2 linked regions of the Bombyx mori genome follow. The protein of the gene in region 2 binds, or shares a complex with, the protein of the main gene of each other region. Links are inferred from orthologs where the notes say so. Each region holds a gene or a part of one and is shown on either strand. Other genes may lie near its edges.

Region 1 (16,368 bases), on a different chromosome or scaffold from region 2:
CACTGGTATGACAATCAAAGAACACTCCTGCCCGTTCTATTAGCTGTTATAACCTCGCCTTTAACGACATTCACGTTAAGAAGTAGCCTGGTTTTAGTCTAAGCAACACCAAACGGACACGGTTTTCGGTATAGAAATATAATAAAAAATGAATGAATAGATTAGTCTTCTTGAAACAACTAGCACTATGAATCTCTGTGCTCTGAGAGGCATTGAAGTTATAATAGACACCATGGTACCTCTTAGTGCCAGTTATGCAAATAAAATCGTTGAAATGTGAGACGTTCCTACTCAATAAAAAAAATTGCAACAAATGATTACACAATGTAGCATTCTACACGAATAAATTTTACGATGAAGGAATAAGATTTCAGAACTATAACTCTGCGAATGTACCTACTGCATTGTGTTTCTCTCCCTACCTATTCGCTGGTAGCCTAAGGGGCTATTCCAGCTACGCCCGGACTAGTAGGTGAGCGCACGAGTTCAACCTGGGAGTATTTGCTAACACTACCCCCAGCCAAAGCAGTGCTTCGCGGAATCTACCACCGGATCGGAATCGCCACCCACTGAGAAGATCCGGCTAGAAACTTAGTGAGCTGTGTCTGTAGGTTAGTTCGCTCGTCGAGTTCGACAAGGACGGGGGGCGGTGCTCGAGAGGCCTAAAAAACCCGAGAGTGAATCCTGGGGATCCGACAAAACATGTTTCGGGCGACGGCAGTTTTGCGTTACCCCGTCGCGGTCGAATATGACATTGTGATATAGCGTGCTTTTTTTAGTGCTTGCGAAGGTAGACTATGGTACGTTTCTGCTGTGAGTGAACAGTAACGGATTTGATTTTCTCCGTTGCGGTACCTAAGTCAAACCCTACTTCTGCATCGAAGACAAGACGCTGCTCGTCCACAATGAACCAAAGAGACAGATAAAACAGCGCGCATGGTTCGCTATGTCCACGTCGCGTCGCAATCATACTAGTGGCCCTTTGCAATGCTACCCTGGCTACCCAGCCTCAGTAGCTAGTAACCTCAAGCTTTTCACGTTCACTCACGTTCGGTGAAGCTAGTACATAATATTGTCCATAGATAATAATATAAATAATAATTATATTATATAAAATAGTAATTTAATATTTAAGAATAGTCTCTCAAGCTTCTTACAACTTACGCATAGTTGTTAAATATAGCCACTGACGTATGAAACCTAATAGCACATATCGTAACTTGTAAGACAGCAGTGTTTGATATCTGATGTCAGTGTCAGTAATCTTATGTCGATTTAAAAAACTCAGACCTTTTTGGCGGGAGTGCGAAGAGTGAATTTGTTTGAATTTTTTATGTTTTTCATTTAGTGTTTCTTTAAGTTTCACTGTGTAATAACGGTGGCTTATTAACTATTGAGTATCTTTGAAAGTCCACAAATGTGGTAAAATAACAAAGCTACTGAACGTACATAGCTAATCGGTTTTTTTCAAAAAATTCACTGAAAAACTCTTAAAAAGTATTAACCTTTTTACTGAGACTTTATGTTTAATTTCATTCCAATTGATAAAGTCTCAAAATAATCAACTGCATCTCAGTTCGCTATCATATCCATATAATAACGGAATATAAAACTTGGCTTAAAGGTCTTGTTACAAGGCCATATAATATTAAAAATAAATAAAAAGAAAACAAAACTCATTAAAATCAGCTGGATAAACCAAGTCGGCCAATACATTAAATGTACATACATTAAAATTAATAGATTTTTTTATTTTACTCATAATTCATAATTTGGACCTGGTTAATTATTTTTTAATCAAAATCTTTCATTCATAACATGGAGTACTCTAACAAGGTAATAGCAGTTTGCTTTTGTGCATTTTACTAGACTTTTCACTATTAACAAAATCTTTGAATTTCCTTCAGAATTTTCCAGAATTGAAAAATGATAGACTACTTCGAGCAGCTTTAGGAAAAAGTGTTGACAAAGTCCCTGTTTGGGTAATGCGACAAGCTGGAAGATATTTACCAGAATTTCAGGAAGTCCGAGTTAAACACGATTTTTTCACGGTTTGTCGAACTCCAGAATTAGCTTGTGAAGTAACACTGCAGCCGCTCAGAAGGTATGAGCACTTGGATGCATCTATAATATTCAGTGATATTCTTGTGATACCACAAGCACTCGGCATGACTGTTGAAATGCACCCTGGAGTCGTAAGTAAAATCCAATTTAAAAATGCTCTACCCATTCTTGACATCATTACAAAAAAATGTATTTCTAGGGTCCAGTATTTCCTAAACCACTTCAAACCCCATCAGAAATAGATGGTCTCCAACCAGAAGGTGCAGTTTCAAGGTTGGATTATGTTGGAAAGGCTATCACACTGACAAGACATAAAATAGATGGTAAAGTTCCCTTGATTGGCTTTACTGGAGCTCCGGTAAATATCACAAATATTTAGGTATAATTTGATGCCATTGAAATATACTCATGTATTTAATTAATTTTGGGATAAAATTTTAGTTTACACTATTTGGATACATGCTAGAGGGTGGAGGAAGCAAAACAATGTCTAAAACAAAAGAATGGCTCGAGAAGTATCCTAAAGATGTCCATAGACTCCTTTGTCTTCTTACTAATGTTATAATTGACTATGTGGTGATGCAAGTAAGTTTGAAATAGTATATTTTTTGCTAAAAACATAATCGATCTTAATGTATCTTGAAAATCAAATATATTTGTTCAAATGGAAATGTATATAATTATATGTATATGCATGTATAACTGAAGGTGGAGAGTGGAGCGCAACTTCTGCAAGTATTTGAATCAAGTGCAGATCACCTCTCAAGAGAACAATTTACTGAGTTTTCTATTCCATATTTGAAAGACATTAGAAGTGGAGTTAGAGCTAAACTTACAGAAAAATCTTTAGAACAGGTTCCTATGGTAAGTTATTTATAGTAAAATAACTTGTAAATAACATGCTCTAGAGATAATCACACAATTAAGAATACTTATTATATTATTTTCAGACCATATTTGCAAAAGGAGCTGGACATTCCTTAGATATTCAAGCTCAATTAGGTTATGAAACCATTGGACTAGATTGGACAGTGGATCCTACTGAAGCCAGGAAAATTGTAGGTGAAAACATTACTTTGCAAGGAAATCTTGATCCTCAGGATTTATACAAAACTCCTGTACGTAATGTATTATAAATTCTTCTGGTGACGTAAACTTTCATTTCATTCATTTCAGTGTCATGAATAATGATGACAAGCTTTTTTTATAAAACCCAGATTTAAAAATTTTTTTTGTTAAACCTGAGTTAATGTGCCGTACTTATTCATTTTAGCTTGTCTTAAACTTAACTTTGAAAAACAAAATACTTTTTAACGCAATAACTAAATTTAAGAAATTACACTTTTCATGTATTTTACTTTATTTACATTAGTAAAATCGAATTAACAAGAAATTAAGATGAAATTAGACATGTTTTTAAGAATTATTTCTTTGCAGGAAGAAATAAAAACACTTACAACTGAAATGGTGAAAAAGTTTGGAAAACATAGATACATAGCTAATTTGGGTCATGGGATTACACCACAAACCCCACTTGAGAGTATGACTGTTTTTACTGAAACAGTACATGAAGCTATATAAGAAGAATATTTTTATGCATGTTATATGGTTGGGAATTAAAGAATTTGCTTGTTAATACAGAAAACTTTTATTCTTAGCATACAACAAATAACTTATATTACATTGTGTATGTTGTCTTCGTATTTTGACTTGTGCCGGGCATATCTTCATCGTGACTTCCAACTGATTTCTTCACATACTGTAATTATTTAATAAATTAATTACATAGTAGAAAAAACAAAAACGAAACTTTGAGAAATCTCCCTAGCTTAAAATAGGAGACATGCATTCTATTTGTATCAAGCAAAGCAACTATGCAGCAGTTCAGGTCCAACTTTTGTAAGAAAATACATAGGATTACGAAAAAAAAGAATTTAAATTTTAATTAACTTGGATTATTCTTTTCGAAAGGACTGATAATTACAGATGGTGACCAAAAATAATGAAAAGTTAGGAAGTAAAAATAAGAAAATATGAAAACAGTTCGTTTATAAAGTTCGATACTCAGTTAATGATTACCAGAGCGGTTGTTACCTGTGGATTGACTTGTATCTGAACATCCATTTCCTGTATGTACTGGTGAAGTTTAGTACAAGCAGCCATTTGCTGTTCTAAGACACACAATGTTTCCGGTGATGCATATTTTTCTGGACTATCTAGAAACACCACCATACCATCTTTTTGGTTAATCATTGCATATATTTCGCCTTCTTCAATCTGTCGAAAAACATTAAATGTGAAGTTTTGTGCCGTGTAACTCTTGTACTGTAAAGCTGAAATTAGTCGAATGTCTCTTTCTAGAGGTCGATGTGAATTGTTTCTTGCCCAGTACCTACTATACGTTTGAGTTTTGAAAACAGTAATTTATTTTTATTTTCTTTATATATTTATTTCTTTAGCGTCGCTTATTACCTACCGCACAATGGAAAACATGAAATGTTGCATGCATATTTACGAGTACGAGTTCTACCAGTGCTGCAGAAACAGCTCGAAGGATTAATGAAGCGTACGGCGCTGGTGTGGCAAAAGAAAGCACGGTACGGTTTTGGTTTCGACGTTTTCGTTCTAGAAATTTCGACCTTCAGAAACAATCGCGTGGACGACCGGAGACCACAGTGGAAATTGAAGAATTAAAGGCTATTGTGGAAGCGGATTCATCACAAAGCAATTCAGAGATAGCTGCAGGCTTCGGGGTAAGTGATAAAACTGTATAAATCCACTTGAAGCAAATCGGGAAAGTAAAAAACTTGAACTACAGTTTTCTAAAATCTGGCCAAACGATTACGGCAGATATCTATTGTCAGCAACTGCAAACCATAAAGGAAGAAATAGCTGCTAAACAACTGAGATTAGTTAATCGCCTACGCCACTGACATCCACCGTATTCCCCGGACTTTGCTCCGACATATTACCATTTTTTTCCCGGGATTTAGACAGCTTCTTACAAGGAAAAAAATTCAACTTCGATCCGGCAATCCAAACCGCCTTCAAAGAGTTTATTGATTTTCACCCCCATGGTTTTTTTAGTAAAGGAATTAATGCACTACCTATGATATAGCAAAAGTGCATAGATAACAACGGTGCATACTTTGATCAATTAAATATATTTTACAAAAATAAATTGACTCTTTATTCCTCCCGTACAAAACGCCAATATAATATTATTATGTTAATTATTTATTTTATCATAGAACGTTTGTATACTGTCAAGCTTCCCTTATTAATAAAACTAACTGCACGTCTTACAGAACATAGTTCTACAAAAATTTTTCAAGATACCTAATGTTATTGATCTTACCATATTAAGTATGTATGTTTCCGCTTGAAGAGGCCCAGATAATTCCACGCGAGAAGCGACATCGCTCAACGAAAGCGTTAAAAATGTTTTTGTCAATCTCTGAATATTCTTCTTATACATTGAATTTAAAACCTTAAAAAAAATTAGTTATAAAAGACTATTCATATTTTCCAAAATATAACACTACCTTAATTACACTGCATTTGAGTTAGTAAGTCATTATCAATCGAATAAATAAATTTTTCTATTTAATCTAAAGCTATTATTTCAAAACAGACCTGATTAACTAGTCCCATATTCTTGTCTCTGACAAATATCTCGCGGTGTTTGCTTGCAGCATGTTGGGATGCCACTAAATCATGATATGGCGCTGACAACGGTTTCAAAAACCGACAAACCACTTGAGATGTGTATTTCGGCATTGGCAAAACCTTTAAAAAGAGTTATTACTTAAATCATTATGTCTAATAAGAACAAAACTAAAAGTACATTATAGGAATAAAAAATTTATTAAATAGATTTTTGAAATAGAAATGAAAACCAAACAATTCTATCATGTCATGGAATTATTATTTTATACAAAATTTTTGTATAGCCAGGAAAACAACATAACATAAAATTGGATTCTTCGGTTTTGATCTTCCAATGGTACGACATGTATTTTTAGCATAGCTTGATTACATGCTTATTAAAAAATATATTAAGTTATGGCTTTAGTAAAAGTCCTGCTCACTGTATGGGTTTAAAATTGAGGTTGAAGGTATCATTGGAAGGAGTAACGTACCTTTCCATGAAGTATAAGAGACACTAAAATATATTTCTTGTATGCTTCCAACATGATGTGGGATACAACCATTGCCGGAACAGTCACTACAACTTCAAAGAAATACAAAGCTCTATCATAGTTTTTCATTGCTGTATAAATCATGCCCCCATAGTAATAATATAGTAGAAAATGTTTGGAATCATTAATACCGCCAAGCTAGAACAAATGAAGTTTTGTTAGCTAGAGTTATGAAATATAGTTTAGTTCAATAATATAATTATATTATTATAACTAATAATATTAATAATATAATAAATTAATAGTATAATTACTATTAACTTATTATATTATATATTTTATTAAATTAATTTAATAGTATAATTACTATTAACTTATTATATTATATATTTTATTAAATTAATTTAATAAAATATATAATATAATAAGTTAATAGTAATTATACTATTAATTTATTATATTATTAATAAATATATAATAGTCATAGCCTGATGATCAACCATCGCTACCGAAACACTAACATTTAATTATAATAAAAAATATACGCTAATTAAGTGTTCTCTCTTTTCGTACTTCGTAAATCTGTAATATTTACTGGTGGTAGGACCTCTTAAGTCCGCACGGGTAGGTACCACCGCCCCATCTATTTCTGCCGTGAAGCAGTAACGCGTTTTGGTTTGAAGGGTGGGGCAGCCGTCGTAACTATACTGAGACCTTAGAACTTATATCTCAAGGTGTGTGGCGCATTTACGTTGTAGATGTCTATGGGCTCCAGTAACCACTTAACACCAGGTGGGCTGTGAGCTCGTCCACCCATCTAAACAATAAAAAAAAACTGTAATACGTTTACTCTACTACCAACCCTTTTTTTTTTCTAGCTAGCTGAGAGCCTTGAGAGGCTATTTCAGCGTAACCTTAACTAGTAGGTGACCTCACGGGGCTCAAACCTGACGATGTTGCTAACACGAACCCTAGCAAGAGCCGTGCTTCGCAGAATCGACCACCGGATCGGAAACGCGACTCACTGAGAAGATCCGGCGAGAAACTCAGTGGGCTGTGTCTGAGGGTTAATTTACTCGTCAAGCCCTTCGTCGCAAGCGACCGGTTCGACGAGACCGATGACCGGTGCTTGAGGTACCTAGAAGCACCGTTAGTGGATCGGGATCCGAAATGACGTGTTGGGGGCGACGTCGACTGCTTTCCATTCTGTCCGCAGGATCTGGAATGTAGTTACCGGCGGCCACGATGAGAGGGTTCTCGTGTCGCCAATCCTTCAGAGGTAACACTATCATAATCATTTTTAAAGAATGAAGACAAATAAAGAGGATTAAAAGGCTACACTTTACCTCATTGCCAATCCCAGTGACGTCAGTGTCCAAAAACTCAAGAGCTGGCTTCATACATTTTGAGAGCAAACAGAGCTGGCAAAGATCAGCATGAATTGAGGTCAGCTGTGAATCAAACAATTGTATCTTTCTTATAGCCTTTTTTAATATTTCCAGGCCCCTTATTGGTTGTTTGATTTCTACCAAATGATTTGTGAGTAGATGACACAAATCTGCATCTGTAATTTTAGAAATTAAATACAATACAATCGTTTTTGTATTGCTCTAGACAGGGATCTCAAAGCCCTACATGTATTAAATGATTACTGCAGCCCATAAACTCAAAATACAAATTACACAAATGACTTTAAGACAAGGTTGAAGTTTTTTTTTATGAATTATATAGAGGCTATTTCACTAGTCTAGACTGCATGTCTGGAGGACTAAGTGGACTTGACTGGACTGGACTAGTGGTTAACAATATGCCATTCTAACAGTAATTTTTTTTGTGTTTCAAGCATTTTATAAATAGAGTGATTAATAATTAACTAATAGGAAAGGACGAGGAAGAAGAATAGTGTATTAGTGAAGAAAATTGTACTCCTTTTCATAAAAATAAAACATAATACTGATAATGAGAAGCAAGTGAAAGATTTGACTGTTATGCTAGATCAATGATGATTCATGAGCATAAAAAATCTTTATAGGTCAGTGATGGGATTGTTCATCTGACCCGTCCCTCAAAACATAACAGATCAGAAGCAGATCTAAATCAATAAATATTTGTAAAACCATTACATAAGCGTAAATCTAAAATACTTAATTTATTTTTATACATATTTAAATTGTTTTGCTAAGTTAAGATGAGAAAGCGATAAGATACTATTTTTTAAGAAATAGACCAATGAAAAAATTAATTTTAATATTTAAATTGAATTAATTACACTAGCTGCTAGTGACTAGCATAATAACAGGTTATTCGTGAGTATTACTGACCTTGCACTCAGAGATAGAAAATATTTCTTATGATTGTCTATAATTAAATATTGTAATAAATGAGGGTTATTTTATTAACAAGTATTTATTTTATTTTATTGAGTTTGTGTTAAACTTTTTTCTCAGTTTTTAACTTGAAATATTAGACCACACAGCCACACAGCTTATACACAAAAGATGCTACTGATAAAGTATTATACATAAATTGATTGATAAAAATTCAGTATTTACAATCACACACTGAACTATGAAACACTCATGATTATACTACTAGGCTACTATTATACTACTAGGCTATGAGCAGGGTCAACTCTAGTTTTCAGAGATATCAAAGAAGGTAAAATATATAGAGGTTCAGCATTCTGACTAAAAAAGATTGACAAAATGAAAAGCAGACTTACATAAATCAGTTGCAAATCGAACTTGTTCACCATTGCAGTTATTGATAAAATCATGAAACTGTTGATACATAGTTGACCTATCAACTTCTGGATTGCCCTGTAAGGTACATAAGTTATATTGATTCAGAAAACAGAAATAAAAGTAGTTAATATGTGATGAACAGTTTATTTCATGCTGTAGAACATTATACAGTTCAAAACAAAGAGAAAACCTAAGTTAACATTATATTATTACGAGATATTTTTTTCAAATTAATATTGGACCTCATTAAGTTTGTCAGTATCAATAAATATACTACTACAGATTTTTTTCAAAATTCATGTTGGGTGACTTTGCAGCTTTTTAATACGATTTTATTAGCTTCAGTTGTATGTATGTTAGTATGTAACAGAATCTTTGAACATGATTTTGACCCCCTTACCATGCATGCACCATGCACCCCATGCTTTTTTACAATAAAATAATTTTTTCTTACACCATTTTTAAATCAAATTTATTTTCTATTTTTTAGTTGGATTTTCTACAAAAGCGTATTTTGTTAGTATTTTTAAACCATTATTTATTTAATTTGAGTTTAGGCATAAAATGCCTTGATAGATATAAAATATATATAATATATGTTATAATTATTGCTGTGAATATTTAGTGATACTAGAGGTCCCGCAGTAGTCGAAATTCAACTATGATTAATTGGAATTGTAAGTTTTTACACTATTATGATTGTATTTTATACTTCTATAATCACAAATTTCACCAAGACTACACTATAAAAAATATTAACAAAGACAAACAATATTTAATTTCAATTTGACAACAGACGTCAAGAACAAAAGTTTGACAATAAATAGTATGCATGCGTGTGTGCGTCAAATACAAGGTATGTAGTGTGTGTAATGTTTTCTTTATTGATTTAATGTATCTTTTATGCATTATTCAAAAAATATATTAACATCATGCACTTCTTCTGTATATTCTCTATAAGTGTGGAAAATTTCATACTCCTCCGTCCGCGCAATTTTCTTAAAAAGGGATACAAAGTTCTTGCTTCATGTATTAATATATAGATTTTGATACAGTTTAAGTTAGACTTAACATACATTTAGATTTCAATTACACTTTAAGGCCATTGTAATAATTTATGTAAAGTTAGAATGCATAATTAAAACACTTACCGGAGGCAAGGAAAATTTGGCCACCAGGACTGCTAAAACACCCAATGAATGCTGTTGGATATCAAGAGTTTCAAGTACTGTATTGAGGTGGAAGCTATTCCTCTGCAACACTTCATCTGATTTTGCAATAATCTCATATAAATCGCGAAAATTACCTGAAAGATAAGACATTGTACCATGAAGTTTGATTTAATGACGTTCTAATACATTCCAATAAATTTGTTTCCTAAAAAAGAATCAGGTTTATTATAATATTATTATTATGATTGCGATTGTGTCAGGTGCCTACTTTTTTTATTCCATGAATTATAATAGCACGGTACCTGATGCCGACATTGTCCTCACATTGTTGACAAATTGTTCTAAAGGAGAAGCCATTGTGATAGTAGTATCAGATAAATTATATATGTGCTTGAATTAATAAATGTTTAAATAAATTGTTTCTTTTTTCTACATTTAAAATAACCCAGACGAAAATAACATGAATTATTGATATTTTTTTGACATGAGAAATTGACAGCGGTAGTTGTTTATTTAAATACATCAATATATTAGGCAAAGAGGTACTAGACCATAATCTTGTAAAAAATAAAGACTACAGCTATAAGTGTTGTATAAAAAGTAAAACGGAACGAAATGAATTAAATTTGAGCTGAGATAAGACAAAACATTATGTATTTGTGCGATATGATAAAATAGGTATGTGTTAATCTCTTTCTTTTTTATTGTTATTTTCAGTAATTTAGTCTGTATCACACCCGTAATAAATGTTAGTTTAAAAACTACATGAAGAAATAAGAAACTATCCCGTAAAAGATGCGCTCGCTCTTTTGGCTAGATACATAAATCACTTAATTTTCTAAAAATTATGTAATAAAAATATATTCCGGCTCAAATAAAATTGAATCAAAATCAATTCAAAGAAAACAGTCATGAGAAGAGTTAATTTTATTACAAGAATGGTGCTATTTTACTAAGAAATTATTTTCTTGCCATCATTCATTATGATGCAGGAAAAACTATCGAAACTTGTGTTTGGTACTTCACACCTGGATACAGATTTTTGCTATATAAAACAAATTCGGCCTTACAAAGCAATTCCGGCCTTGCGTGGAGTACTGCTCTCACCTCTGGGCCGGGGCTCTCAAATACTATCAGATAATTTCCATTGGACTTCATACAGAAGAGAGACGTTCGGATTGTCCATATTCCCGTTCGCATGTATCGCTTGGAGCTCTCTGTCTACAGAGAGACTTCGATTGTCTCTGGGTTTTGTATCGTATGTCCCATAGGGTGTGCTCTGATGTATTGTTTCAGATGATCCCATAATATTAATTTTATAATCACATCACCCGTTATCGGAGAAGAGTTCTGCCATGTACCATCCGGCTTTTGAATGAACTTCCCTCTACGGTGTTTCCCGAACGCCATATATAATATATAAAATATATATACATATATATATATATAAATCTCCTTTACAGATGATCTATCTTTAAAGGAGACTTAAGAAAAGTACGCAACGGTAGGCAGCGGCTTGGCTGTGCCCCGGCATTGCTGATGTCCAGGAGCAACGGTAGCCACTTACCATCAGGCAGGCCATATGCTTGTCTACCTGCAAGGGCAATAAAAATAAATCTGTTGCATTATTTAATTCCATTTCACATTTTATTAAACTGACATGTTTTTGCCTTTTTTAGATTTGGTTTTATGGGTAATTTTTTCTTTGTCGGTTCAGTAAAAAAATCTAATGAAATAAGAATGTACTAATTCTATTTTATACAATGACATTATTCATTTTGAAATTTGACACTAAACAATAAAGTTCCCACAAAGTTCCTCAATAAACACTGAAGTATGAAACTAGGTTTCCTACTTCAGTGTATGAAACTCAATAATGGAAATGAAAGTGTCACTCGTGTATTATGATGTAATACTGTCATTATATATTAAGTGTATAATCTATGCTATCATTCATTGACAGTTCGGTTGAGACTTTTTGGCGGGAACGCGAGGAGTGATTGATTTGTTTTATTTTGTCTATTTAGTGTTTCTTCGTGGACATAACTTCTCGGGATCCTCCAAAAACTCCACTGAAAAAATCTTAGTAAATGACCACCATTTTACTGAGATTATATTTCATCCCAGTTGATTAATGTCTCAAATTAATCATCTTCATTTCATTTCACTCCATAATATCATTTTTCATAAAAATATTAATATAAATTAAAATAAGACGTGACTTAAAGGTCTCAGTTACCAGGTCATAAAATCCCTTTAAAAAAAACAGTTCGGTTGTCATCGTATTCCGATTAGACGTGCGCTAATCATGTCCGGAACTGGATTGAACATGACATCGTTCTTTTGAGTGTCGGAACTAGTTCCAGTAAACATGTTCGCGGAACTGTTTAGTTTCACGAACATGTTAAGTTTAGTAGCTGTTTGTAGTTTGTAGCTGTTTAGTTCCGCGGACATATTAAGTCTAGTAGCTGTTTGAAGCTGTTTAGTTCCGCGGACATGTTAAGTCTAGTAGCTGTTTGTAGTGTAGCGAATCACGTATTAAGTTATTATTAATTACACAATATTTTTCAAAAAAGGTATTAAAAATACAATTTTTTAAAAGCACTATATAAAAATAGATTGCCGCTTATGGCAATTATTATTGTAATTATTATTTTGTAAGGTTTTTAGTTTTAGGTTCATTGTTACAGCTGGTTGCATAATTTATTAATGTACTGTAATTACTTTGTCATAATTTCAACTACTCTACTACTTTCATTATTTTTCAATGTAGGTATTGTACGATGCACCGGAAACTATAACCTATCAGTTGTTAATTAAAATACCACGTTATTCTGATATACAACGTAAATTAAGCTCGTTGTAGCCTTACAACCTTTTTCCCATAACCGAGATACCGAATAGCGAAAGTGGTGAATGTTTTAAAATTCTCGAATTTTGAATTATGATTTTCTAAGAAATGGTCCACAAACACTTAAGGTTAAGTGCTCGTAGGAATGATGCATGGTCAAGGTCAAAATCCATAGCAAAACATTTTAATTTATTCAACTATCGACTGTAACACGTAGGTCGTAGAGCATAACTTCAATATTAATAAAAATGTAATATGAAAGAGCTCCACACGCAGTTTCATGCACTCGCTCCATCTCACTCTCTCGTATTCGTGCCATATGTCGCCTTATCTCTTTACGTGGACTCGTGTCGGTTCGAGACTCGTTCGGGTGGACTCGCCGCGCCACGCCTCCGCGCCGCGCGGTACCTATGCTCTAATCATGTCCGCATGTCCGTCATGTTCAACGCGTTCGTAGTTCCTGCATAACAGTACACTTGGAATGGAAATGGAACTGTCTGAACATGTTAATTTTGACAACTCGGATTGAATGATATAGTTCCATATGAGGACATAGTTCCAGGAACTATTTAGGTCCGGAACTACGCATGTCTAATTCCGATTATTTCCGATAAAGATCGAGTTTTCCCGAAGGAAAATAATTTCTCATTACATCTAAACAACAAATATATTAAGTGTATAATCTATGATCTAAACGGTACATTGTGACTCGCTTTATAATGTGTAAAATGTATTAACTGTTTTTATTATCTATAAACTCGCTTTAATGATGGATAGATGCCTCATGCCAACAAATTTCACGTAGTAACAACTTTACAAATCTGTGACAAATTTCAAGATTTATTAATAGAGTACAAACAGGTAGACGAGTTAGAAATCTTGTGTTATTGATTGGGTTTGGAAAATCTAATTATTCAACAATGGCTATTCTACATAGGGCCCTTTTTACTTGGTTTATATTTTTGATTTTTCTTATTTTGCTATGTCTGAGATTAGAGTCTAGAACACATTGGAATTGGTTCATCGTTTTTATTCCAATGTGGGTGTACGATAGTATTTTATTGATCTACGTACTTTTTCATATGGTATCACACTGCAGAAATGGCATTGAAAGATTTAGAGGAACCATCAATAAAAATGTGTGGTACATAGCTGCAATTGGACTAAAAATGGCTGCACAAATAATAATTTGTATAAAATTGGAATATAATAGAGTTTATTTACCTATTTATGTGGTAATGACTCCTATATGGATGCTACTGCCAGTTCTCTGTATTGAAGTGTTCATGCATTTGATCAAACACTCCAGTGGAAGTAGTAGGTATTAAAATGATTCGAAGCATACTTAATAGGAAGCAATAAATACTGTGCATTGAGGGGAAGGACATGTGACTTCATGACTGTGTAAAGATAATTATAAACTTGGCACGCATTCAGTAATACCGATGTTTGCTCTTCTCAAATGTTTTGTGGCAGCATCAGAAGTTTTGGTGATATAATAATCTTACTCAAGTGTTGAAAAACTCTATTACGTATGTTGGAAGAAGACTCATTCGTCTAGAAAATAAATAAAACTAGAAACAATGAAGATGACAATAGCTGAAGGTAATAATGCTGCATTGAACTGTGCTAGTAATGACTTAAATCATATTTTCTTATTCTGGCTCTTTAACAAAACTACAATCATAAGTTCAGGAATTGATTACAATGATAAAAAGTATAAATATGAAGTTTTATCAGGGAAACTTAATATTAATGTAAGTATTAGAAAATAAGAAAAATTAGTGAATTAGTAAAAGATTAAATTCTCAAAATAGAACTGTCTGCAATGCTAATTAATTATAATAATAAGTGTTTATTGTATATAAGGTCTGTGTGTAATGATTTACTTTAGAACTAGTTACCCTCAAACTTTTTGTTGTAGTCGTTTCTTAGGATAGGAAGCTCTTTGCTTATGGCCAGTCTGCATTGAAACCAATGAATGTGTTGTCAAGACTAGGTTTTAAGATTATTTATATTTTATTTATTTTATGGCAATAATTGATAGGTTGTAGTCTTATTGCATAATATTTCAAACCTCTATGGGCCCAGTGGCTGGGCTTAACACATAGTAGGGATTGTAGACGTTTTTAGCAGTGGGTCAAAATGTGGTTACTGAGTATGCTACTCTGGGACGGCCTCTCTTCCTTTTACCGGACACTTTCCAGGTCAGTGCTCTCTTGGATAGATCTAATATGGCTTTTCTAATATGTGACCATTCCAATGCCACTTCCGCGTAAGGATCTCCATCTCCATTGGTGCCTGGTTGGTGATCCTCCACAGCTATTTGTTAGTTATCGTCTCATGCCAAAAAAATTTCAAATTTTGAATATGCTACTGGATAAGAGATGTTTTCGTATTAACATGTCTAAGTTGGTTTGTGCCACCACCCTTTGGCCAGCTCTAAAATTCTCCATTACTACCACCAGTGCAGTGGTGTGTGACACTGGAAATGAAGGATTAATTTAAGTGCCACTTCCCAGCTTAAAACACGAAAATTTACACTGGTTTGCATGTATTCATTAGATATATTTCAAGATATGACTACAAGAACAATTAGAAACATAGTTAAATGAACTTTATTTATTATCATTCTCTTCAATATCAATGGCTTTACTGATGATAACTTATGACATCAATTTATTTTATAATTTATTTTTTTATATTTTTTTACTGAACTTAATTGAGTCTTGGTAACTTGCTAACACTTTTATAAATTACAATTTAAAAAATATATGTCTCAACATTTCAGAAAGTTACTCAAGCAGATTCTGGAACCTATATGTGCATATCAAAGAGTCTTGATGGTTTACAATATGCAGTCAGTGAAGTGGAAATACTAGTCTCTAGTGCATTTACCCCTATTGATGCTGTAAAACTAGCAGCTATTATAATTTCAATAGTAGTTATTATGGGATCTGCCATACTTTACTATCAACTGAAGAAAGATTGGAAGAAATATGAGGGTAGAGCAGTAGTTGCAGGTAAAATGTTAATCTATACTAATATTATAAAGCTGACGAGTTTATTTGTTTGAACGCGCTAATCTCAGCAACTACTGATCCGATTTGAAACAGTTTTTAGCCCATTTATTGAGGAAGGCTATAGGCTATATAACATCACACTAAGATCAATACAAATGGAGCACCAATAAAGAATGTTGCAAAATTGGGGTTTTTTCCGTTTTGCGAGATTCCACTGCGTGCGCTGTGGAGACGGTTAAAGTTTCGCTAAAGTAATGTATGAGAGAATTGTTCCCCTTTAAAAAATCTAAAAAAAAGTCCGTTGATAGCCTATGTCTATATATTAAGGTTGGCTCACTAAAATGTTTTTTATGTTAAACAAATTTGTTCTAA
Region 2 (16,231 bases):
ATCCTTCATTATAAGCAGTATAAATACACTAATTCTATCAAGACCTCTCACTCCAATGCCCAATAAATGGCAATTTTTTTTATCAATCAAACACAACAGGTAACTCTATGTTTGCATGAACGAATAGTCCATTTGGACTTCATACATTGATTGATTGGTTGGTTGATTCATTGAACAAATCATATAAAGTAAAAAATATGGTGTACCTGTACAATTTGTGGTTTAAAATCGTCTTGTTTGATGACCGTCGTTTGTTGTTGTTGCGATGGCGTTGACGTGGATAAACAATGCCTCGACATCTTACAGTGCTGATACAGATCGGTTTTACTCTTGAACGCCTCGCCGCATTCTATGCACGCGACTACTCCTTCTCCAGTGTGTATTCTATAAGAGTGAAGTGAGTTATTTTCTTACCAAAAATTCCCCTAGCATGAATCTTCAATACTGGTTATAATGTGTAAAAGGTCTTTTACCACAACACTGTCGCACACAACGGCCGTCTGGTGTAGTGGTAAGTGACACGGTCACTACACAAGGGGGTCGCGGGTTCGAATCCCGCCAAGGGAAGATATTTGTATGATAAATATAAATGTCTTTTCCAGGGTTATGGATGTATATTAAATATATGTATATGTATAATAAAAATCTTACATTTATTTCCGTTATCTGGTACCTGTAACACAAGTTCTTTACGAACTTATCACGGGACCAGTTAACGTGGCGTGATTGTTAGTAAATATTTATTTATTTATATTTATTTACTGTCATGTATTCTGGTTCGAAAAGTGGGATAGCAAAAATACAATTGATAATTTTTTTTTAGAGATTAGATTGGAGATGGATTTGGTAAGGATGGGAAGTGTTCACGGCCGCATTGTCAAGTGGTTACTGGGGCCCATAGCCATGAGGTCGTCTCAATAGTGTTGTAGCGCTGCTGCTCCAGCTTTTTCTAATGAAATACGTACTTGGCAAATGTTCACTTCCACGATAAAGGAATAACATCGTGTAGTAAAAACCCTTCACTCTGGAATGCATGACTGAGAAACAAGTCCACAGTAGAAGATAACTAACTTCAAGTGCGCGACAAGCGTCCGTTTCTGCAGGAACTCCTTCCCGCAGACGGGGCAGGCGTGCGGCACGCGGCCGTGCACGCGCCCGTGGTTCACCAGCTGGAACTTGCGGGCGAACGCGGCCCCGCAGTCGCCGCACACGAACGGCGACAGCGACCCGTGGAACCGGCTGTGCATCACTAGGTGCTCCTGGAAGGAAACAACACCACGTCTATATATTGCTGTTTTTTTTTCCTACCTAAGCTGATAGTCTTGAGAGGCTATATCAGCGTCACCTTAACTAGTAGGCGAGCTCACGGGGCTCAAACCTGATGACGTTGCTAACACGAACCCTAGCAAGTGCGCGTGATTCGCAGAATCTACCACCGGATCGGAAACGCGACCCACTGAGAAGATCCGGCGAGAAACTCAGTAGGCTGTGTCTGTGGGTTAATTCGCGACGAGGAATAATGTCAGAAAGCAATCTCTGAGCTCTATAGAAAACTCATAATGCACCAACAATAATATTCAATCAGTCACCAAAACAAAAAAGTAACTATGAGTTAGTGAAGCTGATCCTTTGTTTACTTCATTTGTGGAATCTGCTATGACTTTATAAAAATCACTAAATCAATACTAGTTTTTCATATCTATTCAAACACATATTACAAAGGGTGAGGTTTTATGTGTCTTGTCTCTCAGTTGATCTATAGTTAGATTTCTGAAATATTTTTATAGTTTCAAGCAAACGCAGTCAAAGGCATATTTCACCATCTGGATGAAAAAATGATAACCGTTATATTTTTTTGGTAGTGGATATGTATGGTAAATATGTACTTACCTTGTGAGCAAAGCTCTCTCCACATTCAGTACAAACATAGGGTCGTTCTCCGGCATGATACTTGCTATGCGTCACCAGATGCCGTTTCAAAGGAAATCCTCGCCCACATTCACCACATACAAATGGACGATCTCGACTGTGTACCTTTTAAGGGATACAATTAATGAAATATCCATATACCCAATTTACATGAATACTTTTTATTGAGCAAATTTCCTTTTAAAGGATATTGACGCTTGAAAGGCAAACATGACTAAGCGACAATAACTGCTTTGTACATTAATGATAGGCAATAACCATATTCGATGCGCAAAAAAAATATATTTCTAGGTCTATCAAAATAATTTCAATCCTACAGCTACTAGCTAGATTCTACTACGGCTAGATTCGTTAAAATAAATTTTGTTTTCAGGTATTTCAACTTTAAATTAGTCTACTGTAAAGTTCAAGCATTGTCACTTAGTCACGTTTGCCTTTCAAGCGTCGATATAATTAATGAAATATCCATATACCCAATTTACATGTCTACTTTTTATTGAACAATTTTAGCAATTTTTTAAACTGTACTCACCCTAGAATGTGTTACAAGATGATGTTTAAGTGTAAAGGCCATTTTGCACTCATGACATCTGTAAGGTCGGTCAGCTGAATGCAGCAACAAATGTGTGTTCAAACAATGCTTTCTTGCAAATGCTTTGCCACAATGAGCGCACACATGAGGTCTTTCACCTAGGTAACAATTAAATTCGTTCTTAATTTTCTGCTCTTTAAGAATTATTAATTAGAAATAAAAATGTCAATGATCACTAATCTTTGTTATACATATTAAGAAATGTTCACCATTGTATGTATTCATGGCAATATAATACTTCTTTATATTATTCTTCACATTATGATACTTCTTCATTTAATTAGTGAATAAGGGTTAGCAAAAATTCATAAATCTTAAGACAATCATTAAGTTTTATGGGTATTGTATAATTTTAACCTTGTTACAAGTCATTTTGATAAAGGAACACCGTAAATTATAATTATTTTTATACCCAAATTATTAAAAATATTCATTACTATCTATGTGACCACTTTAGTTATAAGAAACATTTTAGATTTGTGTTAACAGTTGTAGTCTAGTGCCGTTTTTTGTTAATAGTCCAGTGCCTAAAACTACAAAATAATGCAATTTTGTAAAGATAGATAGAACCTTATCCATTTTAGATCTAACAAAATACTTCTACTGTATACTTTTTAACAAATCATAAAATGACATTGCTCTTCTTACAAATTTTACAACATATTTACTGACCGGTGTGAACCCTTGCATGTGTTGTGAGATGGTGTTTCAACAAGAATGATTTTCCACATTCGTCACATGAATATGGCCTCTCTTTAACAGCAGGAGGTGGTGCTGTTGTCGTCATTATTGTATTTGCATTGATCATCTCTGTCTGTGAGTATACAGCCTGAAAAGAAACATTATTACTTGATAACTTAAATTCAATAATGATCGAAATATCTGAAGATATTTATTAGTACTCATTTCACTGAGTTTCGCATCGGATCTACTCAGTGAGCTACGATTCCTGAGCAAAGCACTGAACTTACTAGGTCTAGTGTTAGCAAATTCTCTCAGTTCTCTCAGTTGAGCCTGTGAGCTCACCTACCCTTCCGCACATAGTTGTAGCACCTTAGTCTACCAACGGTTAGATAGGGATAACAATAAAATAAGAAGACATTCATATGGTGACTACAATTATATATCGTGAACATCAAAGCTTCCTAAGAAATAATTACAGGGAAGTCTGATCTTTGATCAACGAGATAAACAATAAATAACTAATCACTGGGAACAAATCACACACTGTCATCCAGCCCCAAATTACGATTGCCTGTATTATGGGTACCTGAGGCTGACATATATACTTCTATATGCTTAAATATATTTTCATATATAAATAATAGCTAGAGCCGCTAATTACTGCACAACTGAGTCAGTCAGATAAACGGATACTTGACTTTTTTTTTCCTACTTAAGCTGGTAGCCTTGAGAGGCTATTCCAGCGTAACCCTAACTAGTGGATGAGCTCACGGGGCTCAAACCTGGTGACGTTGCTAACACGAACCCTAGCAAGAGCCGTGCTTCGCAGAATCTACCACCGGATCGGAATCGCGACCCACTGAGAAGATCCGGCGAGAAACTCAGTGGGCTGTGTCTGAGAGTTAATGTACTCGTCGAGCCCTTCGTCGCGAGCGACGGGTTCGACGAGAACGGTGACCGGTGCTTGAAGTACCTAGAAGCACCGTTAGTAGATCGGAAGGATCCGAGATGACGTGTTTTGGGCGACGTCGACTGCTTTCCATTCTGTCCGCAGGATCGGGAATACTTGACTGGTTACTGTTGCTATCTATAGAAATAAAAATTCTTACTTTAGGTGAACTATTAGTAGTTCCAGGTTCCTGCTTCGTATGTAACAGATGATGTTGTTGTACTGTTGTTGTTTGTATTGTTTCTGCTTGACCCTGTTGATTGTTCGCTTCGGTTAAACTCTTCAAGCCACCATTAAGTATTGTATGGTTTAACTGTGATGCATCAATGACAGGAGTCGCTATTCCTTGAGCTTGCAGTGCCCTTTTCATTAGAATTTCATTGCACTCTTCTGCCGTCAGTTGTAGTGGTCCAAGGGGAGTCATAAACGACTTTGATGTTAAATTTGTTGCTGCAATTTATAATTTATTTTATTGATTTGGTTCACATAAGTTTATTGTTATTAAATATTAACATGAAACCTAACAATATTGGTCAAATTAACCTTTTTTTTATATTTTACATGTTATAAAATTGTTATGAAACTATAAGAAAATTGACAGAACATGCTTTTAATATTTTCTTCACTTTTTAGTTTTAGTTTATTTTTCTCTTTTCTAAGAAAAAAACTAATATCTGCATTAATAAAATCAGTATTTTGTTATTAGGAGTCAATTTAACTGAGTGCAGTATGAATAGATAAATAAGAACTGTCAGTAGATTTTGTATTAAATACTTACAGAGAACTTTATTTATCTAATTTAAGCTTAAAATTAAAATTTAATTTGAATTTAAGCAATTAATGCTAAATAAGCAAAAAGCTGACTAGTAAGCGATTGTAAGCCTTAAAACAGTTAATAATACCCACTATGTATTGTCGCTGTTTGGTTTTGTTGTGAAACCCTGTTTATAGTATGGGTTGGAGCTTCATTCAGAACAAACATAGCTCTCCTGGCCGTCACCGGAGCTCCTGCTGTGACAACCCTTGTGACTTGAGCCCCCGAGTTGGATACTGCCACAGCAACAGCACCCACTTTATCTTGGACTTGCGGTGTCTTGTGAGACATAACAGTGAGTGTTGTCTCTGGAGACACCTGAAATGTTTTATTTATTGTTGATTATTTGTTTTTATTTATAAAATGATTTTAAGTCTTTACTGAAATGAAACCTATTTTGAAACAAAATAGCACATATAAGTACACAATTTCATAATAGCTTTTTTTTGTTGCTAAATATTAAAATAACTAGAAAATTTACTTCAAGTGAAAGCTGATTGTTGTTAATTTCATTCAATCTTGCTTATGGTTAAAACTTTGAGAGGATGCACTTTGAAATTAAAGTGCACAATAAATGTTTACTCTAAAGTGCTTCAGTTATTTAATTTATTTTATTTAGACCTTACCGTACTCCCAAGCGAATAACTGAGGCTGCTCGGAGTTTCGACATCGCCCTTGGTAAGGTCCGCGGAACTCGTAAAGCCCCAAGAATAACCGAAACCCGAAACATTGTTCGGTGTTGGCATACACATTTTCACCACAATATAAACTTCACTACATAGAAATGTAAACGCACTAACACAGATTCACTATTTGATAGTAAACAGTCCTCATGACAGTTTTATCATTGCGAACATGTATGTACGACCTCACAACCACACACGCAAAACGCACTCATTGACAGCGACGCCGAATATCAAGCGAAAACAACACTAATTTACAACTTGTGATGGTGTTCTGTGTAAATAACGATGAATCTTAACTTTAGACGACATCTAAATTAGTTTAATCAACCCAATATAAAAGGCGGCCCAGAACAACGACGCTTCAACGAACATTGACACGCACATTATTTACAATAAATAGTACGTTATTAGAAGTCATATATGCATTTATAAGCTTCATAATTACATATAAAATAAAAAACACTTTCGTATGTCAAAAAAAATTGGAGAAAATCCAGATTTTTATGAAAACAATTAATTTATCGCACACACAAAAAACCTGACGCCATTTTATTATTTATGGTCATTTGAAAACTGAAGCATAAACTTTTAAATTTCTAGTTTTTTTTTTGTCAAAGACAAACTTTATAAAATTCTTGAAATTAGTTTATTTTTTAAGCCCTATAACTAATCAATCAAAGCTGTAGTTTCACTAAAAGATTTTTGGTATTATGAATAAATGTACTTCTCTGCATACTGTTCTACTTTTGAATTAATTTCTATTTAAATTGGCTGAATTTTTCATCCTAAACGCTTTAGAACTAACAAAAATTACGTGATTTAATTACACCACATTCTTTACATGAAATGTCAATATTCTTGGGGTATTTTTTAATTTATCTTAGTTACTTGATACATAGGTAATAAATTTATGCACTCATAGTCTGACTTCTTTGCAATATTACTAATTAAGACAAGCTCTTCAAGAACTCAAGTACCTGACTTTTCATAGATTTAAGTATAATCTGCCACCATCATGTTCTTTATGGAAATTGAATACATATTTTATGATAGATTTCAAATTTGAAGTAAACTAAACCTACAAATAAATACATCCGTTCGTTATGTATAATAATAATAATATTAAAGTATCAACAGCTAGCAATATAAATGTAGAAACAGCCTGTCATCAACTGTCACTGTCAACTTAAAATTACCAAAGAAAGTATAAAATACCTACCTACCTAGGTAGGTACATAAATATAACAGTTTAAACCTTAAATCTGAGTTTGATACTTTTTCCCTAACATATAGATTCAATATAGAATTGACCTATTTCCCGTTTATGAAATAGACATAGACGTCTTAAAATTCAAAATGAATCCGATGTCAATGGACCGAGATGAACCTTCCTCATTGTTATCATTTTCCTCCAATCACCCTCTAGAACAGTTTGTCCTTTTAGCAAAGGGAGCTAAAGGTTCTGCGTGCGCTGAACTCATCAAACAGGTTCTGGAGGCTCCAGGAGTGCATGTTTTCGGCGAGCTATTAGAGATGCCAAATATTAAAGAGGTTAGAAAACTTACCTTTATATCGATCAATTAATTCTAATACATTTTTAACCATTAAATGTATGAAACTGTCCGAATTCTATGGGTAGAAATCAATTTGGCGCTCTTGTTAAAATTCATTTTATTGTATTTTTCAGCTGGAGAGTGGACCTTATGCAACTCATTTAAAAACTCTTAATTTGTTTGCCTATGGCACATATAAGGACTACATTGAGAACAAATCGGACTATTTAGAATTAACCACAGTCCAGTGCAAGAAATTACAGCATCTGACCATTGCAACACTTGCAACACAAGAGAAATGTATCCCTTACAGTGTGTTACTTGAGGAATTGGATATTAAAAATGTTAGAGATTTAGAAGATCTTATCATTGAAGCTATTTATGCAGGTGAGTTGATTTTCCTACTATAGTGTATATACAAACAGTCCCTAATAAAAAAAGTGTCAGAGTTGTTGATTCATAAAACAGTATTAAAATTCAAGTTTGACTACATGCATTTTATACCTTGTTTTTTTCTTTTTCGAGTTATTCTTGTGGTGTATATGAGAAAACAATTCAGTGCCGAATTTGATGTAGTATCTAATTTATTTAGTTCATGTTTTATATAGATTAAAGCCACATATATAAAATGTGCATTGATAAAGAATACATATACACTAAATAAGCATAACTTCTAAAGTGTCCATATAAAAAAAAATCATTAAATCTTAAATGAATTTAGCTACCAATACAAATAGGAAACTGATGCTACAATGACATGAGCCATGAGCCCTACTATTATGTCTTCAGATAATTTAATGCATCTTAGTGGAATAAAGTTGGTATGAAGTCGTCGTGGCCTAAAGGATAAGACGTCCGGTTAATTCATGTTGAAGCGATGCAAAGGTGTTCGAATCTCGCAGGCGGGACCAATTTTTCTAATGAAATATGTACTCAACAAATGTTCACGATTGATTTCCACGGTAAAAGAATAACATAGTGTAATAAAAATCAAACCCGGCAAAATTATAATTTGCGTAATTACTGGTGGTAGGACCACTTGTGAGTGCGCGCGGATATCTACCACCGCCCTGCCTATTTCTGCCGTGAAGCAGTAATGCGTTTCGGTTTGAAGGGTGGGGTAGCCGTTTTAACTATACTGAAACTTTAGAACTTGTATCTCAAGGTGGGTGGCGTCTACGTTGTAGATGTCTATGGGCTCCAGTAACCACTTAACACCAGGTGGGCTGTGAGCTCGTCCACCCATCTAAGCAATAAAAAAATTACTTAATTAAAAAAAAAGTTTTATCATAAAAAATTCAATTACAATTTGAGGTTTTACAATATAACTATTGGTTTACCTTATAATTACAAGTACTTATGCTTAGTAAGTCAATGTTATGTTCCCTGTTTGAGTTTGTATGCCCTGAAAACAGTTTAACATCCTTTTATTTATCCATATAAGCATATATTTATTTTGATTTTTCTTTTACTATTTTATTTTGTTTTTACCTTCGTAGAAGGGGAGATCAATCTATTCCATGTGGTAGTAAGTAGTTGTAGGGAAACAAATAAATCTGAATGTGAATATAGCAAGCAAACATCAATAAACAATTACTTTCTAAAAATAGCATTTTTGCACTTCTCATTATGACCATGGCAACTAATTAACAATGCATTCCTTTTAATTATTACTTGTATAAAATTAAGTTCAATAAAAACCTCATTAGACAGATAGTGTGTATTCTTTATTTTACATCAATATAAACATAAATACAAAACATACATCACACAAAAGTAGAATGGGCAGTCTTATTGTCAAGAGGATTCTATTCCAGATAACCATGAAGTGGACAAGAATCACATGAGGAAATAAATTAACCGCAGTGTACTTATTAGTTAAAAGATATTTTTTTAAATATGCACAATATAACAATATATAGATATACAGTATAAACTCATTAGGAGTAGAATACCTTGACGATTTGAATATACATACATGATGTTGAACTATTTTACTGTTACAATAGACCACTCGCACGATAATTGGAAATAATTTACATACTATACTTCCATAGACATAATTCACGGCAAGTTGGACCAGGAATGTAAACGTGTGGAAGTGGACGTGGCCCTTGGCAGAGATGCGCGGCTTGAAGATGCAGCTTCCATTGCTGATGTCCTGGCCGACTGGTGCAATGCTTGTGAAGCAGTACTCAATTCTGTAGATCAACACATACAGAGAGCTAATCATCAGAAACAGAAGGCTATCAGACATCAGCAGGGTATAGAACAGAAGGTGAGTGTTATATTATCTAAGGTGCATGTATATTATATAACAATTCCTAAAACAAAAACATCATCATCAAATACAATGTTTGACCTTCTAAAAATCATATAGTTCTTATAAAAATCTTCGATCAACAATACTATTATTGATCAAGCTCAAAATAAAAAAAAATACATAACTTTATGACCCATTCGGAATGTAGGTTCACCACAAAGTATCAATCAGCAAGAAATTCAGAGCTTGCACTTTTAAAGATAAATGTATATTTACAGTTCTGGATGGAAATAGTCTTCAAAATTCTCTTAACTATTATTTTTTATCCTCCATATATATACAATTAGATTCAGATCCATAAGTAGACATGTGACATAGACAACTGCAGTGACACAGTTTAAAGGAGCATGCATTCGATTCACTATGCTTAGTGCGAGTTTTTTTACTTCTCGATCTTGTAAAAGTTAACCGTGTAGGAGTTAGAACAGTGTCCCTTCGTTTGCCGCTAGGTTCGCTGTTCCAACTTCATACTTATTTGAGTTAACTTTTACGCAATCGAGAAGTAAAAAAACTCGCACTACGTGCACAGAACACTGTCTATAGAAAGCAGTTTAGTGTCGCTTCTGTAATTGCTCGAAATCCTTTTTACCTTTCGAATATTTATCAATTCATAGTTCTGTTCAGCTTATTTGTAGAACTAGATGGTAATGGTCACTTTTACAAATATCTTAAATTTCATGTTTTACTGTAATTGTAAGTTTTAATATATTTCGCCATTGATGACAAACCAGAGTCCCAGGGATAGTACATAAGAAAACGTTTTGAAGTCCCGTAAAAAAACAGTCATGCATTACCAAACAGTAGATTATTATGAGAATTTGATTGAATACCTCAATTTGGACTCATGTATTATTACCTATGTTATAATATCAGTATGCTTAGTGCGATTTTTAACGTTCTCGATAGCGTAAAAGTTAGCCCAATTTTGTATGCAGTTGGAACAGCGCCCCTAGCGGAAAACGTAGGCAAACTTTCTCATTCCATACAAATATGAGCTAACTTTTACGCTATCGAGAACGTTTAAAAAACTCACACTAAGCACACAGTTGGATTCGGATTTAAACTTAGCATTACAAGGACCTTGATCACTGAAATAGTAAGACGAAAACTTCAAGTAACTCAAGTTAATTATTATTTCAGATTTTATACATAAAGAAGACGTTGAAGACTCAAGCAGAGAATGATGAGTCAGCGTCAGGTGCCAATGCCGAGCCTCACTCAGCACCCAAAAAGAATTCGAGCAAAAGCAAGACTGCACGTAACTCTGCCAAATTCTGGCAGAAGAGCACATAATTGAAAAACAGATTGAATTGTATTTTTAACCTTGTGATAATTTTTGAAATAATAAATATGTTGTAAGTGTATCGTATCGCATGTTTTTTTTTTCATTTGACAATTTTCCGTTCGGGAAAACGAAAAATTCAAGTAGGTATTGAAGTTGAAAACCACGGAAATTTTTAAATATGAAAAATGAACGGTGGATGGAGCAAGCTTCGGGAACTTGATGATTAGTATTTATTGGAAATGCCTACATATCGATACTAGGTTAAAGTTTCGCTAAAGTAATGTGTGGGTGAATTGTTCCTTTAAAAGATCTACAAAAAAGTCCGCGACAGCATATGTCTATATATTAAGGTTGGCTCACTATAACGTTTTTTATGTTAAACACATTTGTTATAAAATAAAGCATTATTTGTGAACTATTCCACGCAGACGAAGTCGCGGGCAAAAGCTAGTTACTTATATGAGGAGTTCTAGTGAAATAAAAACGAATTGAAACTTGTCTTTGATTTTCCTCCACTTCAAAAAAATTATTCCAGACTTTGGTGTCGTTATTTATTAGTATGTTATGTAGTACGTTGGTATACTGTAAGCGTTATTCTTTACTACCAATCTACCTAATCAGAATAGAGAGGAACATTGGCATTCTCTACGCAGGTACTCTATCGAATAATACATCTTGTGTGTGCTCAAGGGTTCATTCGAGACGATATTTCATCCGATTACTTTCCATCAAAAGGGCTACTAAACATTACCTAAGAATTCGTCCACTCATTCCCATTGCGTTTCAACAGATCGCACGTCCCATTAAAAATCGATCCAATTTTCTTCAGATTTAGATAGATTGTATATAAATCGTATGTGATGTAACTTCGATAGTCTGCTTAAAAATTTAGTCACGTCAGACGCTGTCCACTCACCCGGTTTCAAACCGTGATTACGGTTAAAATAATATTATACGATTTCTAAGTAACATTGCATCTGCGTGGAAACAAAACAGGAATTACATTTTATGTATAGTAAATATAAATTAGAGCAGCAAAATCTATGGATGACTGATCGTAGGGAATGAGTATTGTCGCCACGCACGGACGTGCCAGCCCATTTTTCAGCTTCGATGCTTAAACCGTTGCAGAGTCGAACTACAAATTATGCGAGAGTTAGGTCCCATGTAAATTAAGATAGCAGCCGTTCAAGAGAAGCGAAGTGCAAAATGTTAGAGGGATTTTCCCTTCGTTCGATATTAATTTCGTTCTATACAATGTAGACCCATCTGTACCATAATAGGATCTATTCTGTGTTCAAGATATAAACATGCCGCAAATCTGTGCTTTAGATAAATGTCAACCGAATATCTTTCACTTTCATGACTGAAGTTGAAAACCTTGAACGCCTATGTTTCCAGGGTAGCCAATTTAACACATTTGCTTCGATCTTAGATTTTCTTAGCTCATCATTACCAAGCAATTAAAAATTGCAAATTTTTAGACTTCTCCATTAAAATATTTGGACCACTGAAACACTACGGCTCATCGTATACTTTTTGTGGTGATTTATTGAATATCAATTAACTTCGTGTTACTGACTATTTAGGTATTCGTTTTACTGGTTTAATGACTGCCCTTAATAGATCTGACTTCTAAATAATTCAATGCTATATCCCCCTGATGTATGTTTTTTAAGATATAGCCTTACAAATTTTAATATGAGAAATATCTTATGCTACACTTATTCGAGTAGATGCTTTTAGAGCAATAATAACAGTAATAATTTGTAACCGCCTGTTAATTAAAAATAGCGAAGCGCTAAGAAACAAAAATGCTATTTAAAATTAGTTACCACTGTGAATAATTATCAAATTGATTTTTAAAAAAATGTTACTTTAAAGCTAATTTTTAAACTATTTTCGAAGTGAATTCAAAGCTATGAAGGTAAAGAGTTACAGTTAAATTTATTTTTAGTAGATAAATTAACTTTGCAACCCAGTTTACCAAACGTCAAACAACAGAGTGGGACGAAGCTTCGTTTTGTTTCAGCCGCGAACGAGAGAGCGAAAGTCTCGAATGGTTCGGACAGCGAGTCTGTTTTGTTGACGCAGAGGCGCAGCGTTTAAGTGCGCAGGCAGTGCAACGATTATCGTGTTAGCAGGCCACAAAAAAGTGATGTAAATAACACATTAAACATGATACTAATGTAAACAAAGTATGTATTACGTGAACACGTTTCTGGGACGCTATGATAGTGTGTTAAAGAACTAAAAATTTGTGCAAGAGCTATACACAACTCCATAGCAACGATTCTGTGAAAAACTACGACACAAGTGGCCGTCGTCGTCGCGTTTTCCACAATGATTCCGTAACAATTAATATAACTGAATAGACTTTATTATTTAATTCCGTAGGAGGCAATTGTTCAAAGAAGCGTCTGGACTCGAAGACCTTCGTGTATTGGATGTACAGAAAGGCAAGTATGTAGAATTGATCGTAATCACCTTTCACATACCGATCTATATTCACGGTCAAACTTGTTTACTCAATACCTACTTGTTTTATCGATGCACTGTCCACTCATTAAAAACCTACCTACTTATTAATTCCGTTAAGTAAATGCAGTCCTAATCATATTAAAATCCAATGGATATTATTGTTTCACAATCAGATAATAATTGTTATGAATTTTAGATACTATAATTATTGTTATGATGATGTTTATGTGGAGTTCTTTGTTATGGGGCTCAGCTGTTCGGAGGGCGGGGCGAGGTGCGGGGTGCGGGGAGAGACCGGTCGCGCAGGGTACCGCGCGAGTGCTCTTGCATTATTCCAGCTCACGTTCATGATATGAAAATATAACAACAGACTCGGTTTTATTGCCCCAATCGGTTAAAGTAGCAGTACTAAAGTGAGCACGGATCACAGTAGATCATAATATATCACAGGATAAATGACCGATATTACAAGAACTACGATCAGATAAAACACTTGTTTATTAAGGAATCTATTGTCGTAGATCAATAATCAAGATGATTATCAATGCACCAGTTTATTGAATTTTAAAAGATATCTCAATATAGAGTTAATTGTATAGTATAGATGGGTAGACGACCTTTACCTGATATTCAATTGTTACCGGGGCCCAACGTGAATACTATCCGCCGAATACCTGGAAAGTAGAGTTGGTAGTCTCAATTTTATTGTTCAATGCCTGTTCTACTATCAAAATTGGAACTGCTTCGCAACAGAAAAGACGAGTCGGTTGTAGCTGCCCGTGCTGACTTATATATTTTTTGCGATAGACGGGTTCTGTTAGCTCAAAGGCCTTTAGAGCTTTATACCAGGACAGATGGGCGGCACGAGCTCAGCCAGTAGGGGTCATCATAATCGGTTGCTCTTGGCAGAGCAGTCGTGGTCATGTGGAATTCTTGCTTATTAAAGCCTTGACAGATGTTTTCCATAGATTGCGAACCGAGGCCCGGCGCACACACTCGTTAAGTGGGGTTTCAGTAAGGTCTTTCACCTAATCAGTACAGCGCATGGGGATTCGTCCACGAGATCTCTTACCATTGACCTTACCGTGAACAACAAGTTTCTCGATAGATGCTGCTGGCAGTAGGGGTAGGATTTGCTAAAACCTACCCGAGTGCGAAGGAATTTAACAGCTCGAAGGCAGCTGCTTCGCGAATGCATCTAATACCGGATCGGAATCGCGACCCACTGAGACGATCCGTCGTGTAACTCAGCGTGATGAATCTATGAGCTAGATTTCACGTCGAATTCTTCCATGAGCTCGATAAGTAGAGTTACCAGAGTCCTTATATCTGCTCTATAGTGCTAGCGTTGCCGGCGTCTCATAAAAATATTAGTGGATCATGCTACCACCGTAGGCATGGTAGGCAGCGGCTTGGCTCCGCCCCTGGCATTGCTGACGTCCATGAGCGACGGTGACCACTTACCATCAAAGGCAATAGTAGGCGGTAGTTCTTTTTGACGCTCAACAAATATGTAAGTACTTTCATTTATGTTGAATAATTTTTTTTTTATTTGATTTGATTTGAATAAAAAAACCACCATTTATTTTTTTATTGCTTAGATGGGTGGACGAGCTCACAGCCCACCTGGTGTTAAGTGGTTACTGGAGCCCATAGACATCCACAACGTAAATGCGCCACCCACCTTGAGAATAAGTTCTAAGGTCTCAAGTATAGTTACAACGGCTGCCCCACCCTTCAAACCGAAACGCATTACTGCTTCACGGCAGATATAGGTAGAGTGGTAGTACCCACCCGCGCGGACTCATAAGAGGTCCTACCACCAGTAAAAACCAATTACGAATATGTGTAATTTCTCGATTTTTATTACATGATCTTATTCGAATTCTCGGAAACCGTACAGGTATAAGTATTACAGATATGGGATAAATTATAAAACAGCGATAATGCGCATACCTGTTTGAGCATTAATTATGAAACGAAATGAATGAACCATGGGCATCCTCCACACTTACCTACAGGGTGTGTATCGTTCTTGAGGCTGATATATACTTAGTCTGGCCATAAATACTGTTACAATAAAAAAATAAAAAAAATATATTGCAAATAACATTTATTATGTACTTTTACAGTGTTAGATGTTAGATTAATACATAAATATAAAACACTTTAAAGTATAAAAAGCTTATTCGAAGTGGTCTCCATTGGCTGCAATACAGTCCTTTAAACATTGAGGCCAATTATCAATAGAAGCACGCACTCTTTCCATGGGAAAATTTTTCTTCGAATTCTTTCCCTTACTGCTTTGACCACCTTTTTCGTACGAACACTACGTGGACGGCCAGATCTTTTTCTGTCACAAACAGAGGAGGTCTCATTGCACCTATTAATAGCCCGGTACACAAACATTTTACTAATACCAAGCGTATGGAGAGTTTTAAAAATTGCATTGGCTCCATACCTACTTTGTGTAATGCAATCACAGCGATTCGGTTCTCTTTATCACCCCACTCCATTTTAATATCGCAAAATATTGTACAATGTATTGGCGCCAAAATGAGAAAACTCAATGAGCAATCATATAAAAATGACAGATTCCAAATTCAAATGTAATATTTTGCTTATTTTTAATTGTAACAGTATTTATGGCCAGACTAAGTAAACTGCGAACCTAATAGATGTTGTTAAACATTATTCATTTATTAAGGTAAACGTAAATAGGTACGTATTTTTACAGTGAGTTCGTATTCAGTGAACCTGCAATTATTGCCATTACTTATTTTATTACGTGCGAAATACGAAGACCATTTAAAAGTTATTACATTTTAAACGTTATTTGTTAAATTATTGTCGTAATTAAGCGTCGCCGTCTCATCCAACTGTTCCGATTTATAGAACACTTTTTCCTACCTATTCTAGTAACCTCAAGCGGTTA

Evidence for each region.
Region 1: COP9 signalosome complex subunit 7b (region 2) and COP9 signalosome complex subunit 3 share a complex: the UniProt entries of both Drosophila melanogaster proteins name them as parts of the CSN complex. The link is inferred for Bombyx mori from reciprocal best matches to the Drosophila melanogaster genes CSN7 and CSN3.

Annotation. Positions count from the first base shown.
Region 1 is NC_085119.1:8,366,146-8,382,513, forward strand, and holds COP9 signalosome complex subunit 3, read right to left. Parts: upstream 10,745-16,368; 5' UTR 10,480-10,744; coding exon 10,425-10,479; intron 10,257-10,424; coding exon 10,102-10,256; intron 9,026-10,101; coding exon 8,929-9,025; intron 7,771-8,928; coding exon 7,553-7,770; intron 6,405-7,552; coding exon 6,207-6,404; intron 5,854-6,206; coding exon 5,701-5,853; intron 5,555-5,700; coding exon 5,423-5,554; intron 4,342-5,422; coding exon 4,159-4,341; intron 3,824-4,158; coding exon 3,743-3,823; 3' UTR 3,689-3,742; downstream 1-3,688. Other genes in the region: uroporphyrinogen decarboxylase, read left to right, coding at 1,819-1,836, 1,908-2,195, 2,264-2,422, 2,506-2,649, 2,773-2,928, 3,015-3,182, 3,502-3,645; uncharacterized protein LOC101742302, read left to right, coding at 14,557-14,730, 15,765-15,996. UniProt on the Drosophila melanogaster protein: Component of the COP9 signalosome complex (CSN), a complex involved in various cellular and developmental processes.
Region 2 is NC_085114.1:3,660,142-3,676,372, reverse strand, and holds COP9 signalosome complex subunit 7b, read left to right. Parts: upstream 1-6,618; 5' UTR 6,619-7,010; coding exon 7,011-7,205; intron 7,206-7,341; coding exon 7,342-7,594; intron 7,595-9,264; coding exon 9,265-9,485; intron 9,486-10,670; coding exon 10,671-10,823; 3' UTR 10,824-10,899; downstream 10,900-16,231. Other genes in the region: zinc finger protein 615, read right to left, coding at 207-384, 1,072-1,259, 1,891-2,034, 2,462-2,619, 3,194-3,350, 4,315-4,604, 5,061-5,286, 5,595-5,720. UniProt on the Drosophila melanogaster protein: Component of the COP9 signalosome complex (CSN), a complex involved in various cellular and developmental processes.